Stegostoma tigrinum: one gene and its partners. The protein of the gene in region 2 interacts with the protein of the main gene of each other region in a pairwise test. Links are inferred from orthologs where the notes say so. Each region holds a gene or a part of one and is shown on either strand. Other genes may lie near its edges.

The links.
Region 1: the proteins of arl6ip1 (region 2) and snx10b interact in binary tests that used the Homo sapiens proteins (3 or more experiments, as listed by UniProt). The two-hybrid records come from large-scale screens. The link is inferred for Stegostoma tigrinum from reciprocal best matches to the Homo sapiens genes ARL6IP1 and SNX10.
Region 3: the proteins of arl6ip1 (region 2) and snx15 interact in binary tests that used the Homo sapiens proteins (3 or more experiments, as listed by UniProt). The two-hybrid records come from large-scale screens. The link is inferred for Stegostoma tigrinum from reciprocal best matches to the Homo sapiens genes ARL6IP1 and SNX15.

What each region holds. Positions count from the first base shown.
Region 1 is NC_081355.1:56,549,252-56,553,106, reverse strand, and holds the start of snx10b (sorting nexin-10B), read right to left. Parts: upstream 2,810-3,855; 5' UTR 2,752-2,809; coding exon 2,693-2,751; intron 427-2,692; exon of another isoform or gene 389-426; intron 1-388. UniProt on the Homo sapiens protein: Probable phosphoinositide-binding protein involved in protein sorting and membrane trafficking in endosomes. Plays a role in cilium biogenesis through regulation of the transport and the localization of proteins to the cilium.
Region 2 is NC_081376.1:54,011,215-54,015,069, forward strand, and holds the start of arl6ip1 (ADP-ribosylation factor-like protein 6-interacting protein 1), read right to left. Parts: upstream 2,665-3,855; 5' UTR 2,597-2,664; coding exon 2,555-2,596; intron 1-2,554. UniProt on the Homo sapiens protein: Positively regulates SLC1A1/EAAC1-mediated glutamate transport by increasing its affinity for glutamate in a PKC activity-dependent manner.
Region 3 is NC_081395.1:12,627,387-12,631,241, forward strand, and holds the start of snx15 (sorting nexin-15), read right to left. Parts: upstream 2,963-3,855; 5' UTR 2,956-2,962; coding exon 2,857-2,955; intron 672-2,856; coding exon 639-671; intron 1-638. UniProt on the Homo sapiens protein: May be involved in several stages of intracellular trafficking. Overexpression of SNX15 disrupts the normal trafficking of proteins from the plasma membrane to recycling endosomes or the TGN.

The DNA of each region.
Region 1 (3,855 bases), on a different chromosome or scaffold from region 2:
CTTTTTATTTCAAATCTCCAGTAACAGCAATATTTGCTTTTACCTTTAATTATGCCTTTCTTACCTCTGTAACATTTTGATCAGGAGTGCACAGGAATAGTCAATCTCTCACGTTCCACCCCCAAACTTCAGCTCCTCCAAATATAAACAATATCATGTAATTTACACCATTTGTCCATTGCCTTGGACCCCACTGACCTAAACTGGCTCTCTGGTTAAGCAACACGATCTTAAAATTGTCTTCCTTATTTCCAATTTTCTCCATGGCCTTGCTTTTCCAATCTTTGTAATCCTCATCAACCGAACAAACTTCCAAGTGACAATATCAGCTTCTTGAGCATCCCTGATGTTAATCACTCCATCACATGGCATTTATGGGGACACATACCATACGTCATTAAAGCTCTAGGCAATGGACTTCCCCGTGTCAAGATTTCCATATTTCCTCATGCAATTCATTATCCAATTCTAGTCAGTAACATTCTTATGCAATGCCTCAGAGAGTTAGAGTACAATAAATGACAAGACAAACACAAGTTGTTGATGTTGACAACTTTCTGGATTCATCGATTAGTACAACGATGTTTGTGTGTCATTGGAACTGCACAGAAGAGATAACCTCACCGGCCCTTTAAGGGCGTGGTGAATAATATGAAATGGGAATTTAACAAGTACGGCAGTGTCACAGCCTGTGTGTTTTATACGTAGACCAGCACAGCACAGTACAGGCCCTTGGGTCCACAATGTTGTACTGACCTATTATCCTACTCTAAGATCAAGCTACCGTGCATACTCTTCATTTTAATATCATCCATGTGCCTATCCAAGAGTTGCTTAAATGTCCGTAATGTATCTGACTTCACTACTCTCTGTGTAAAGAACCTACTTCTGACATCTCCCCTACACCTTGCTCCAATCACTTTAAAATTATGCCCCCTCATGATAGCCATTTCTGCCCTGGGAAAAAGTCTCTAGCCATCCACTCAATCTATGCCTCTCATCATCTTGTACACCTCTATCAAGTCACATCTCCTCCTTCTTCGCTCCAATGAGAAAAGCTCTAGCTCCCTCAACCTTTCCTCATAAGACCTGCCCTCCAGTCCAGGCAGCATCGTGGTAAATCTCCTCTGCACCCTCTCTAAAGCTTTTACATCCTTCCTATGATGAGGCAACCAGAACTGAACGCAACATTCCAAGTGTGGTCTAACCAGGGTTTTATAGAGCTACAGCATAACCTCGCAGTTCTTAAAGTCAAATCCCCTGCCACTGAAAGCCAAAACACATATGCTTTCTTAACAACCATATCAACTTGGCAAGCAACTTTGAGAGATCCACAGACGTGGACCCCAAGATCCCTTTGTTCCTTCACACTGCCAAGAATCCTGCATTAACCTTGTATTCTGCATTCAAATTTGACCTTCCAAAATAAATCACTTCACACTTTTCTGGGTTGAATTCCATCTGTAACTTCTTTGTCCAGCTCTGCATCCTGTCAATATCCTGCTGCAACCTACAACAGCCCTCCACACTATTCACAATTCCACCAAAACTTGTGTCATAGGCAAACTTACTGAGGAAAGGTTACCAGACCTGAAACATTAACTCTTTTTTTTCTTCACAGATGCTGCCAGACCTGCTGAGCTTTTCCAGCAACTTTTTTTTGTTACTAACCCACCCTTCCACTTCCTCATCCAAGTCATTTATAAAGATCACAAAGAGCAGAGTCCCAGAACAGATCCCTGTGGAAGAGCACTGGTCACTGTGGTCCATGCTGAATATTTTCCATCTACTACCACCCTGTCTTCTATTGGACAGCCAATTCTGTATCCATATAGCTAGATTTTCCTGAATCCTTGCCTCGTTACTTTCTGAATGAGCTCACCATTGGGAACCTTATCAAATGCCTTCCTAAAATCCATATACCATATACCTAAAATCCATATAGGCATGACCTGCCCCTCACAAAGCCATGCTGACTATTTCTAATCAAACTGTGCTTTTCCAAATAATCATAAATACTGTTTCTCAGAGCCCTCTCCAGTAATTTGCCCACCACAGAAGACAGACTGACTGGTCGGCAATTCCCAGGGTTATCCCTATTCCCTTCATTGAACAAGGGAATAACATTTGCCACTCTCCAATCATCTAGGTCTAAATCTGTGCCACTATGATTGATCACTGAGATCGCCAAGTATGAAAAACGATCAAAAAGTTGTCTTTGCTTACACAGGATACCTCACTCTTGGCATGACTCACATCCTCCTCATAATGGTTTTGTCTCAATACTGTGTCCGAAATCACAAAGAAGTGATATTGGACCTTGGCACTTCCAGTCAACTTCTACATTTACTTCGGTGTTTTTTATTTGAGGAAACGGTAAATTCAAAAGGCAGGAACCTGATGAGCCTAACAATATCAACACTTGTCCATTGGAAATCCCGACAGACCGAGTATTTCCAGTATTTCTGTTTTCCTTAGTCGTTTAGTATGCGTCTTGGTACCGTCACTTAAAAATCAATACACAAATTTCAGCTGCCAGCATTCTAGCAAACGGAAAGGAAAAGGCCAAGGGCCACAGACGAAAGGAAAATGAAAATAAGGATGCACTCGGTTTGACAGTGCGGATATTGTTTAAAAAGGGGAAAGAAAGCAGACTTGTCAAAAACTACAACTCTAACTGGTAATAACTAACCTTTCTCCACGAGGTCTCTCATTTGGAAAAGTACATGAATAGGAAAGATTTGGAAGCATGTACGCCAAACGCAGGCAAGTGGGACCAATTTAGTTTAGGAACAGATTTCTTTCTGGTTTGTCGAATAGCGAGAGTAATATTTAGCAATCTCGGTGATCAGTCGGAATGGCACAGATTTAAAACTGACAAGTTATAAAGCTAATATTCACGTTTCAGATTCATTCCCCCTCCCCCAATTGTTGGCGGGGTTATCCTCAGGTGATGGGGGAGATACTAAACGAACATTGCGCGTCAGTTAGATTAAAGAGTCTGTTTCTACGCTGAATGACTCTAAATGACTGTCCAGTTAAAAAGGAACGCATGTTGCAACTTGCGCCCCTGGCGTGAAATCGTTACAAACACATCACATCAACGTTCGGCTGTCAATTTCAGCCAGCCCACTCCCAGCAGCCGTCCTTCACTCACCTGCCCACTGCACCAAGACCCTGAGTTGTCTTGGACCCTTTCCACTGCACCAAGCCACTGACTAAAGCCAGCCCAAGCTCCTTTCGATTTCGTGCCTAGACTGGATCATCCCAGTCACGTGACAATGACCAACTTCTCAGCCCAGCGCTGCTACTACTTCCGCCCTTTACTCAGGCAAAGCCAAATACTTAAAGCGGTACAGCATGGCTGTACAGATTTTAAGTATTTGCTTCTGAAATGCAGATTTCGGTTCTTCAACGTGCCATTGTTTGATGACGCAGTTCGTTGCACAGTTGACAGTCTTTTTCAGAAACAGTAAGAATAAAACTTGTTTTCTTTCTGAGATAGTAGGAACTGTAGGTGCTGGGGAAGAAGGGTCTAGGCTCGAAACGTCAGCTTTCCTGCTCCTCTGCTGCTGCTTGGCCTGCTGTGTTCATCCAGCTCTACACTTTGTTATCTCTTTTCTTTCTGCCGACTTCTCATGAAATATCAAATTTCCCAATTAGTTTAAACGATGACTGTTAGTTACTTAATGTGTATTATGCATTTTCATGCAAAACAACATAAACGAACCACAATCCAGTTACTGTTTAACGAAAAGGGAAGTAATTACGTCGACATCAATGCAAACTGATTATTATGGCATAACTTCAACATGTATGTATAGAACAGCTATAAAGTGGGCTCTTGAATAGAGC
Region 2 (3,855 bases):
AAGCTTTATCAGTCAGGAACCGCCAGTGAGCAATGGGCGAGTTGAATTTAGTACATGCCAGGAATCAGGTTGTAGGGTTTGGATGAGTGCAGATTTCTGCAGGATGGAACTGGTGAGTTTCACTGGGAGTTTTATGTACCACAAACATGAATGAGGGCTTCAGCTCACAAAAACTTAAATGAAAGCCAGAAAAGGTCAAATTGCAGAGGTGGAAAACTACATACTAGATAGAGGAGTTGACCTAGACTCAGGTTGTGGCTCAAGACCGAAAACGAGAGAGAGAGAGGGATAAACCAATCAATTGAGTTGACAGGGTGACAAAACCTGCTCAAGATGAATGTAACTTTTTATTAAGACAAGAGGTGACACGTCAAACAAGCTATGAGAGGTTTTGTGACATGAAGACATTGTGAATGATGTGATACAATGACAGCATTTTCAATTCTTCTAAGTCAGAAAGAAAACAGCCATTATCGCCGCATTACTGGCCCCTGCACAAAGCATGGTCCCAAATACAATTCCGAAACTCTGGCCACCACCACCCCACGCCCTCCACACCCCAAGTACTAACAAACCCCTCCCCTGGAATACCCCCAACCCCTTCCCCCACCACTCCCCACCCCAAATACCCCCAACCCCCTCCCCCACCACTCCTCACCCCAAATACCCCCAACCCCCTCCCCCACCACTCCCCACCCCAAATACCCCCAACCCCCTCCCCCACCACTCCCCACCCCAAATACCCCCAACCCCCTCCCCCACCACTCCCCACCCCAAATACCCCCAACCCCCTCCCCCACCACTCCCCACCCCCCCTCCCACACCACTCCCCACCCCCCTCCCCCACCACTCCCCACCCCCCTCCCCCCACCACTCCCCACCCCAAATACCCCCAACCCCCTCCCCCACCACTCCCCACCCCAAATACCCCCAACCCCCTCCCCAACCCCCTCCCCACCCCAAATACCCCCAACCCCCTCCCTACCCCAAATACCCCCAACCCCCTCCCCCACCACTCCCTACCCCAAATACCCCCAACCCCCACCACTCCCCACCCTAAATACCCCCAACCCCCTCCCCACCCCCCTCCCCCACCACTCCCCACCCCAAATACCCCCAACCCCCTCCCCACCCCCCTCCCCCACCACTCCCCACCCCAAATACCCCCAACCCCCTCCCCACCCCCCTCCCCCACCACTCCCCACCCCAAATACCCCCAACCCCCCTCCCCCACCACTCCCCACCCCCCTCCCCCACCACTCCCCACCCCCCTCCCCCACCACTCCCCACCCCCCTCCCCCACCACTCCCCACCCCAAATACCCCCACCCCCCCTCCCCCACCACTCCCCACCCCAAATACCCCTCCCCCACCACTCCCCACCCCAAATACTCCCATCCCCCTCCCAAATACCCCCAACCCCCTCCCCCACCCCAAATACCCCCAACCCCCTCCCCCACCACTCCCCACCCCAAATACCCCCAACCCCCTCACCCCAAATACCCCCAACCCCCTCCCCCACCACTCCTCACCCCAAATACCCCCAACCCTCTCCCCCACCACTCCTCACCCCAAATACCCCCAACCCTCTCCCCCACCACTCCTCACCCCAAATACCCCCAACCCTCTCCCCCACCACTCCTCACCCCAAATACCCCCAACCCTCTCCCCCACCACTCCTCACCCCAAATACCCCCAACCCTCTCCCCCACCACTCCTCACCCCAAATACCCCCAACCCTCTCCCCCACCACTCCTCACCCCAAATACCCCCAACCCTCTCCCACACCACTCCTCACCCCAAATACCCCCAACTCCCTCCCCCACCACTCCCCACCCCAAATACCCCCAACCCCCTCCCCCACCACTCCCCACCCCAAATACCCCCATCCCCCTCCCCCACCCCAAATACCCCCAACCCCCTCCCCAAATACCCCCAACCCCCTCCCCCACCACTCCCCACCCCAAATACCCCCAACCTCCTCACCCCAAATACCCCCAACCCCCTCCCCCACCACTCCTCACCCCAAATACCCCCAACCCTCTCCCCCACCACTCCTCACCCCAAATACCCCCAACCCTCTCCCCCACCACTCCTCACCCCAAATACCCCCAACCCTCTCCCCCACCACTCCTCACCCCAAATACCCCCAACCCTCTCCCCCACCACTCCTCACCCCAAATACCCCCAACCCTCTCCCCCACCACTCCTCACCCCAAATACCCCCAACTCCCTCCCCCACCACTCCTCACCCCAAATACCCCCAACTCCCTCCCCCACCACTCCTCACCCCAAATACCCCCAACTCCCTCCCCCACCACTCCTCACCCCAAATACCCCCAACACTCCCCATCCCAAATACCCCCAACACACCCCACCCCTCCTCAGCCCCCGGTCACCATACCCAGCCCAGCCCATCTCTCCCGCGCTACTGGGTGTACGTGTGTTGGAGAAGTCTGGCCGCGCCACCCCCCACCCCGCCCCCATAACGGGGTATAGTTATGTTGTTTCCCCCACCCCATCGCGGGGACAGTGGTGCTGTGGAGTTCCCTCACCAGGAGGTTGGTGCTTTTATTGTCTCCGTCCCCACTCGCCATCGCCACTCGATCCTTCTCGACGCCCGTTTATTGCGCATGCGCGGTTGCTCCCACCCTAATGGTGCATCTCCACACGTGATACTGCAGGCGGCATTGCTGATTGGACCAATTCCGGCCGTACCCACACGCCTGATTGGCCGGCCGTGGCACTGCTCACGGTGATCGAATGTCCCCTGGACAGGAAACGCCCACCGCCGACCGAACCCCGCCTACAGGACAAGGAGCCACGCCCCTTGCCCGCCCACCGCTGAGGAGACCCCGCCCCCTTCCCCTAGCCCAAACTAGTCCCTGCACCTAAATTCCTGAAGAGGCTACAATAATTTCCCACTCCTAAGGCTAGGTAGAGGCGGCCTGATTTTATATGAATAGGAGTCAAGGCAACTGGGGTTTAGTTTTCCAAAACATCTGAATAGTTGGAAGGCTTCTACCAATCTATACCTTATCTCTCTCTGCTTCCTATAAAAGGTTAAGATACAAACCATCAGGTATGAGTCAACCCACATGAAGTGCAGTGGGTACAGGACAGTCTCTGCAAGAAATCCAGCCACAGATATTCTCTTAGCAACAGTGATGGCGACCGTGTTCATGTACACAGGTAGTCACCATTATAGGTCAACAGGCCCACAGCACGTGCAGCGCTGTTGTTTGCATGATTTTCTTTCCTTCCCTCTAGAAGCAGAGTGAACTAACACTACAATTTGAGCATTGAAGATCATGAAACTTTAGAATAGTAAGAGGGCACGGTTCTTACAAAAAAAAATTACACACAAGGATTCCCATATCCAATGCTGCTCAAGCTAAGGCTGCTCATTTAGACCTGTTCTGTAAACTCCACAAGAATCACTTAGAAGTTTTCTAATCCGTCCTTCGTAGAGAATGGTTACAAAATGAACCTCGTGACTGTACAAAAACAGCATCTCATATTCCACTCGGGGACCCTGCAGCCTGAGGGTATTGATGTAGACTTCACAAGCTTCAAAATCTCCCCTCCCCAACCACATCCCAAAACCAGCCCAACTAGTCCTCGCCTTTCTAACCTATCCTTCCTCCCACCTCAATCCCCTCATTCCACCCCCATGACCTGTCCATCCTCCCTGGACAGCCCTATTTCCACCCCCTCCCCCCCCAAACCTACATTCACCTTCACTTGCTCTCACCCTGCCTCTTTGACCTGTCTGTCTCCTCTCACCCGATCTTCTCCTTTATCCATCTTCTATCTACCTCCCCCTATTTTTCAGAATCCCCTTCCCCTCCCCCAT
Region 3 (3,855 bases), on a different chromosome or scaffold from region 2:
GCTTTTGTATACCTCCTGTGCAGCAGTAACTCTGTACTCCTCACTCTGTTGAATCACTCTATGATCTGTGCGTCCTTGTATGGTATGAGGTGCACGTACTGCAGGCAAAACAGAACTTTTCACTGTACTTAGGTGCACATGGCAACAATAAATCAAACCAAAAGGTTTGACTCATTAAAACACTTCCCTCTCTGGCTAGTTCCAGCACTTTGCAATTACATTGGGCAGATGGGTGGAGGAATTCAATCGAGGGTTTGAGATGTTCAAAGGGGCTGACAGAGAGAAATTATATTGTCTAGTGGTTGGGGTGGGGCGGGAACAGAATAAAATGGGAGTTGAGGTGAGGGAAAGCCAGGACGAGGTTGCGTCAGGATCAGAACTTTAAAAACGACAGCTAAGCCCTTCTGAGGAGATGTGACATCTTCTCCCTCAAGTCGAATGGGGTGGTTGGGGGGGTGGGCAGGATCTGGGTTTGGACCCAGATTGGCGGATTGCGAGCAACAGGTAGGTTGAGGGATGTGGCTTGGTGACAAGAGACCAGAGCCTGAGGAGCTGAACATGCCTTGCCCCCAACTTCTACAACCCACACCTCCTCCGCCTGTACACAGCCAGACTTGAATCCTCACACCTGCACTTACCTCTTTGACGTCTGCAGTCTTCTTGGAAAAGATCTGTAGTTGGGAGTGGGTGTAGAAAGAACAAACAGTACAGGTCACAGAGGTGTAGTGTAGGAGTAAACACACTTGCTGAGGCATCCCCAAATGCAGATAACCAACCCACTAGCTGTGAGGAATCACAGTCCCCTGCCAAACATCCCACTTCACGCTGCTATTAAAGGTTCCTGTCCGTCAGTCAGCACACCTCTGCATTAGGGACTTCCGATGGACCGAGAGCTCTATCGAGCTCCACCCCCCCCACCACACCCACCCCCCAATACACACTATCCTCAAGGCTCTGGGAACAAAAGCAAAGAGGTGCACTTCTGTATTGCCTGTCACTGTGCCACCACATTCCAAAACAGCACTTCCTTGTCAATGCTGACTTTCATGACAGGATGGATGCCACTGGAATGGAGAAAATGCAGCAGCCGAGTAGCCCACAGCAAGCTCCCCCAAATGGTGTCACAGAAGTCACCAGGCCACGTGTTTTTCAGTGATGTTCATTATGGGATAAGTATCGGACTCTGGACACTGCAGAGAATTCTTCGCAATCCCGTCCGATCCTGCTCTCCTTCAATCACAGCCAAACGATTATTCACATCCTTCCACGAGCTGTTAAACATCTTCGATCATTACACATCACAAGGGCAGTGCTGGCACAGACAGCAACGCTCGGGAACAGCCTATCCGCTCCAGTTGAGCGGCATTCTTCTTCTCCCTCTCTTTTTTGTCTTTTCTTCACCTTCCCAACACCACGAGAAGGCTACAACAGCGTGGGGGGGTGACTCCTGGCTCATAGGGCCCAATGCCCGGACACCTGGAATTGGCAGGGCATCAACAATGGGAGAACGAAGGCGCCTGGCTGCTGTAGGCCTGGAACGCAGACTCCTTCCGCAGCAGCAGGTCATCAACTGAGGCTGCAACTGGTGACGAGCGTAGAGACTCCAGGCCGTGGGAGACCCAGATCAGGGACTGTACAGAAGTCCTGGAGCAGTGTTTCGGACCCTGGCCAATGAAGGTGAACTCGATCTAATTACGTCCTTTTTATTCTTAACAATCGTGCCAGAGTGTGACGACATAAAATGTTTCAGTGTCTCCCGAGATGTATGTGACAAAAAATCAATCATTTATCTCATTTGAGAACTGGCACTTCAACAGCACGGCGTCCCCTCGGCGCTGACCCCACCGACAGCGCGGCGCCCAACCCACCGACAGCACGGCGCTCCCTCGGCGCTGACCGTCCGACAGCGCCCGCTCCCTCGGCGCTGACCCTCCGACAGCGCCCGCTCCCTCGGCGCTGACCCTCCGACAGTGTGGCACTCCCTCAGCACTGACCCTCCGACACTGTCCGCTCTCTCAGCACTGACCCTCCGACACTGTCCGCTCCCTCAGCACTGACCCTCTGAAAGTGCCCTCTCCCTCAGCACTGACCCTCCGACAGTGCCCACTCCCTCAGCACTGACCCTCTGAAAGTGCCCACTCCCTCAGCACTGACCCTCCGACAGTGCCCACTCCCTCAGCACTGACCCTCCGAAAGTGCCCACTCCCTCAGCACTGACCCTCCGACAGTGCCCACTCCCTCAGCACTGACCCTCCGACAGTGCCCACTCCCTCAGCACTGACCCTCCGAAAGTGCCCGCTCCCTCAGCACTGACCCTCTGAAAGTGCCCGCTCCCTCAGCACTGACCCTCCGACAGTGCCCGCTCCCTCAGCACTGACCCTCCGACAGTGCCTGCTCCCTCAGCACTGACCCTCCGACAGTGCCCGCTCCCTCAACACTGACCCTCCGACAGTGCGGCGCTCCCTCAGCACTGACCCTCCGACAGTGCCCACTCCCTCAGCACTGACCTTCCGACAGTGCCCGCTCCCTCAGCACTGACCCTCCGACAGTGCGGCGCTCCCTCAGCACTGACCCTCCGACAGTGCGGCGCTCCCTCAGCACTGACCCTCCGACAGTGCGGCGCTCCCTCAGCACTGACCCTCCGACAGTGCCCACTCCCTCAGCACTGACCCTCCGACAGTGCCCACTCCCTCAGCGCTGAGGGTCAGGCTGAGGAGTCACTTTGGTTAGGAAGGTGAGGGAGGGATGAGGTGTTGAGGTAAGGGGTTGGGGTTGGGTGCAGTGTCAGGGGTCCCAGGTAAGGGGTCATGTAGGCTCTCCTTACTTCCCCGCTGGTAGGTTGCAGTCTCCCCTTACCGTGACGGTGACCCGGTACTCGGTGTAGCCGTGTGGGTGCTGCCGCGGCTCCGTCACTCGGTACCGGACTTCGTCCGCCTTTCCCCTCCTCCATGACATCCTGAGTGCAGACCAGAGCGCAGGCGCTCCACCGGCCCCGCCCATCACCACTGGGGCGCAGCCACAGCACCGGGAGGAACCCTCCGCCGTTAGTGCGCAGGCGCAGAATTGAACACGCCCACTGCCGTGTGGGTGCAGGCGCACAGCAGGCCCCTCCCACAGCTGTCAGGGTCAATGCCAATTGCACTGTTCTATATAACCACCTTAGACTACACTCAGCTCCTTCACTCGCAATAACTTCCCAATAACATGTTTGCCCAGCTTCATCCCCATAAAGACACAAGGTGACCTCCAATTCAGCTGCTCAGCCCACTTCCCACTTTTTCCCACAGAATCAATGTACGGCATTCAGCCCATCGAATCCACACTGACCCTACCAACAGCACGCCTCAGTAACCCAAACCCCAACCCTAACCCCACCATCTTCCATGGTTAACCCACCTAGCCTGCACATCCCTGAACACTATGGGCCAATTTTGCATTGGCCAATCCACCTAGCCTGTACACGGGAAGGATTTGTATGTGGAGTTTGTACAGTCACCCGAGGATGGAATTGCACCCAGGTTCCCAGCCCTGTGAGGCAGCAGTGCTAACCCATAAGCCACCTTCCGTTTTTGTAGCTCCTTCCACATCCAATTGCATTACTTTGGAAGTGATGACAATTGATGGGTACATATTGAGCCCAAGATGCCAGGATCAGCCACTGGCCTTGGTATCTTTCCCACCTGCTTGTGAAGGCCGAATGCAACACGGTCTTTACAACATCAAAGATGGCACCTCTGACACAGCAGCACTTGCTCAGTCTTAGCCACACAAAAGTGGGTGCTGCAAATCAAAACTAAGAAAAAAAAATTGCCAGACCAACCCAAGGGCAGCCAGCAATGTTTGTGGAGGGAAGCA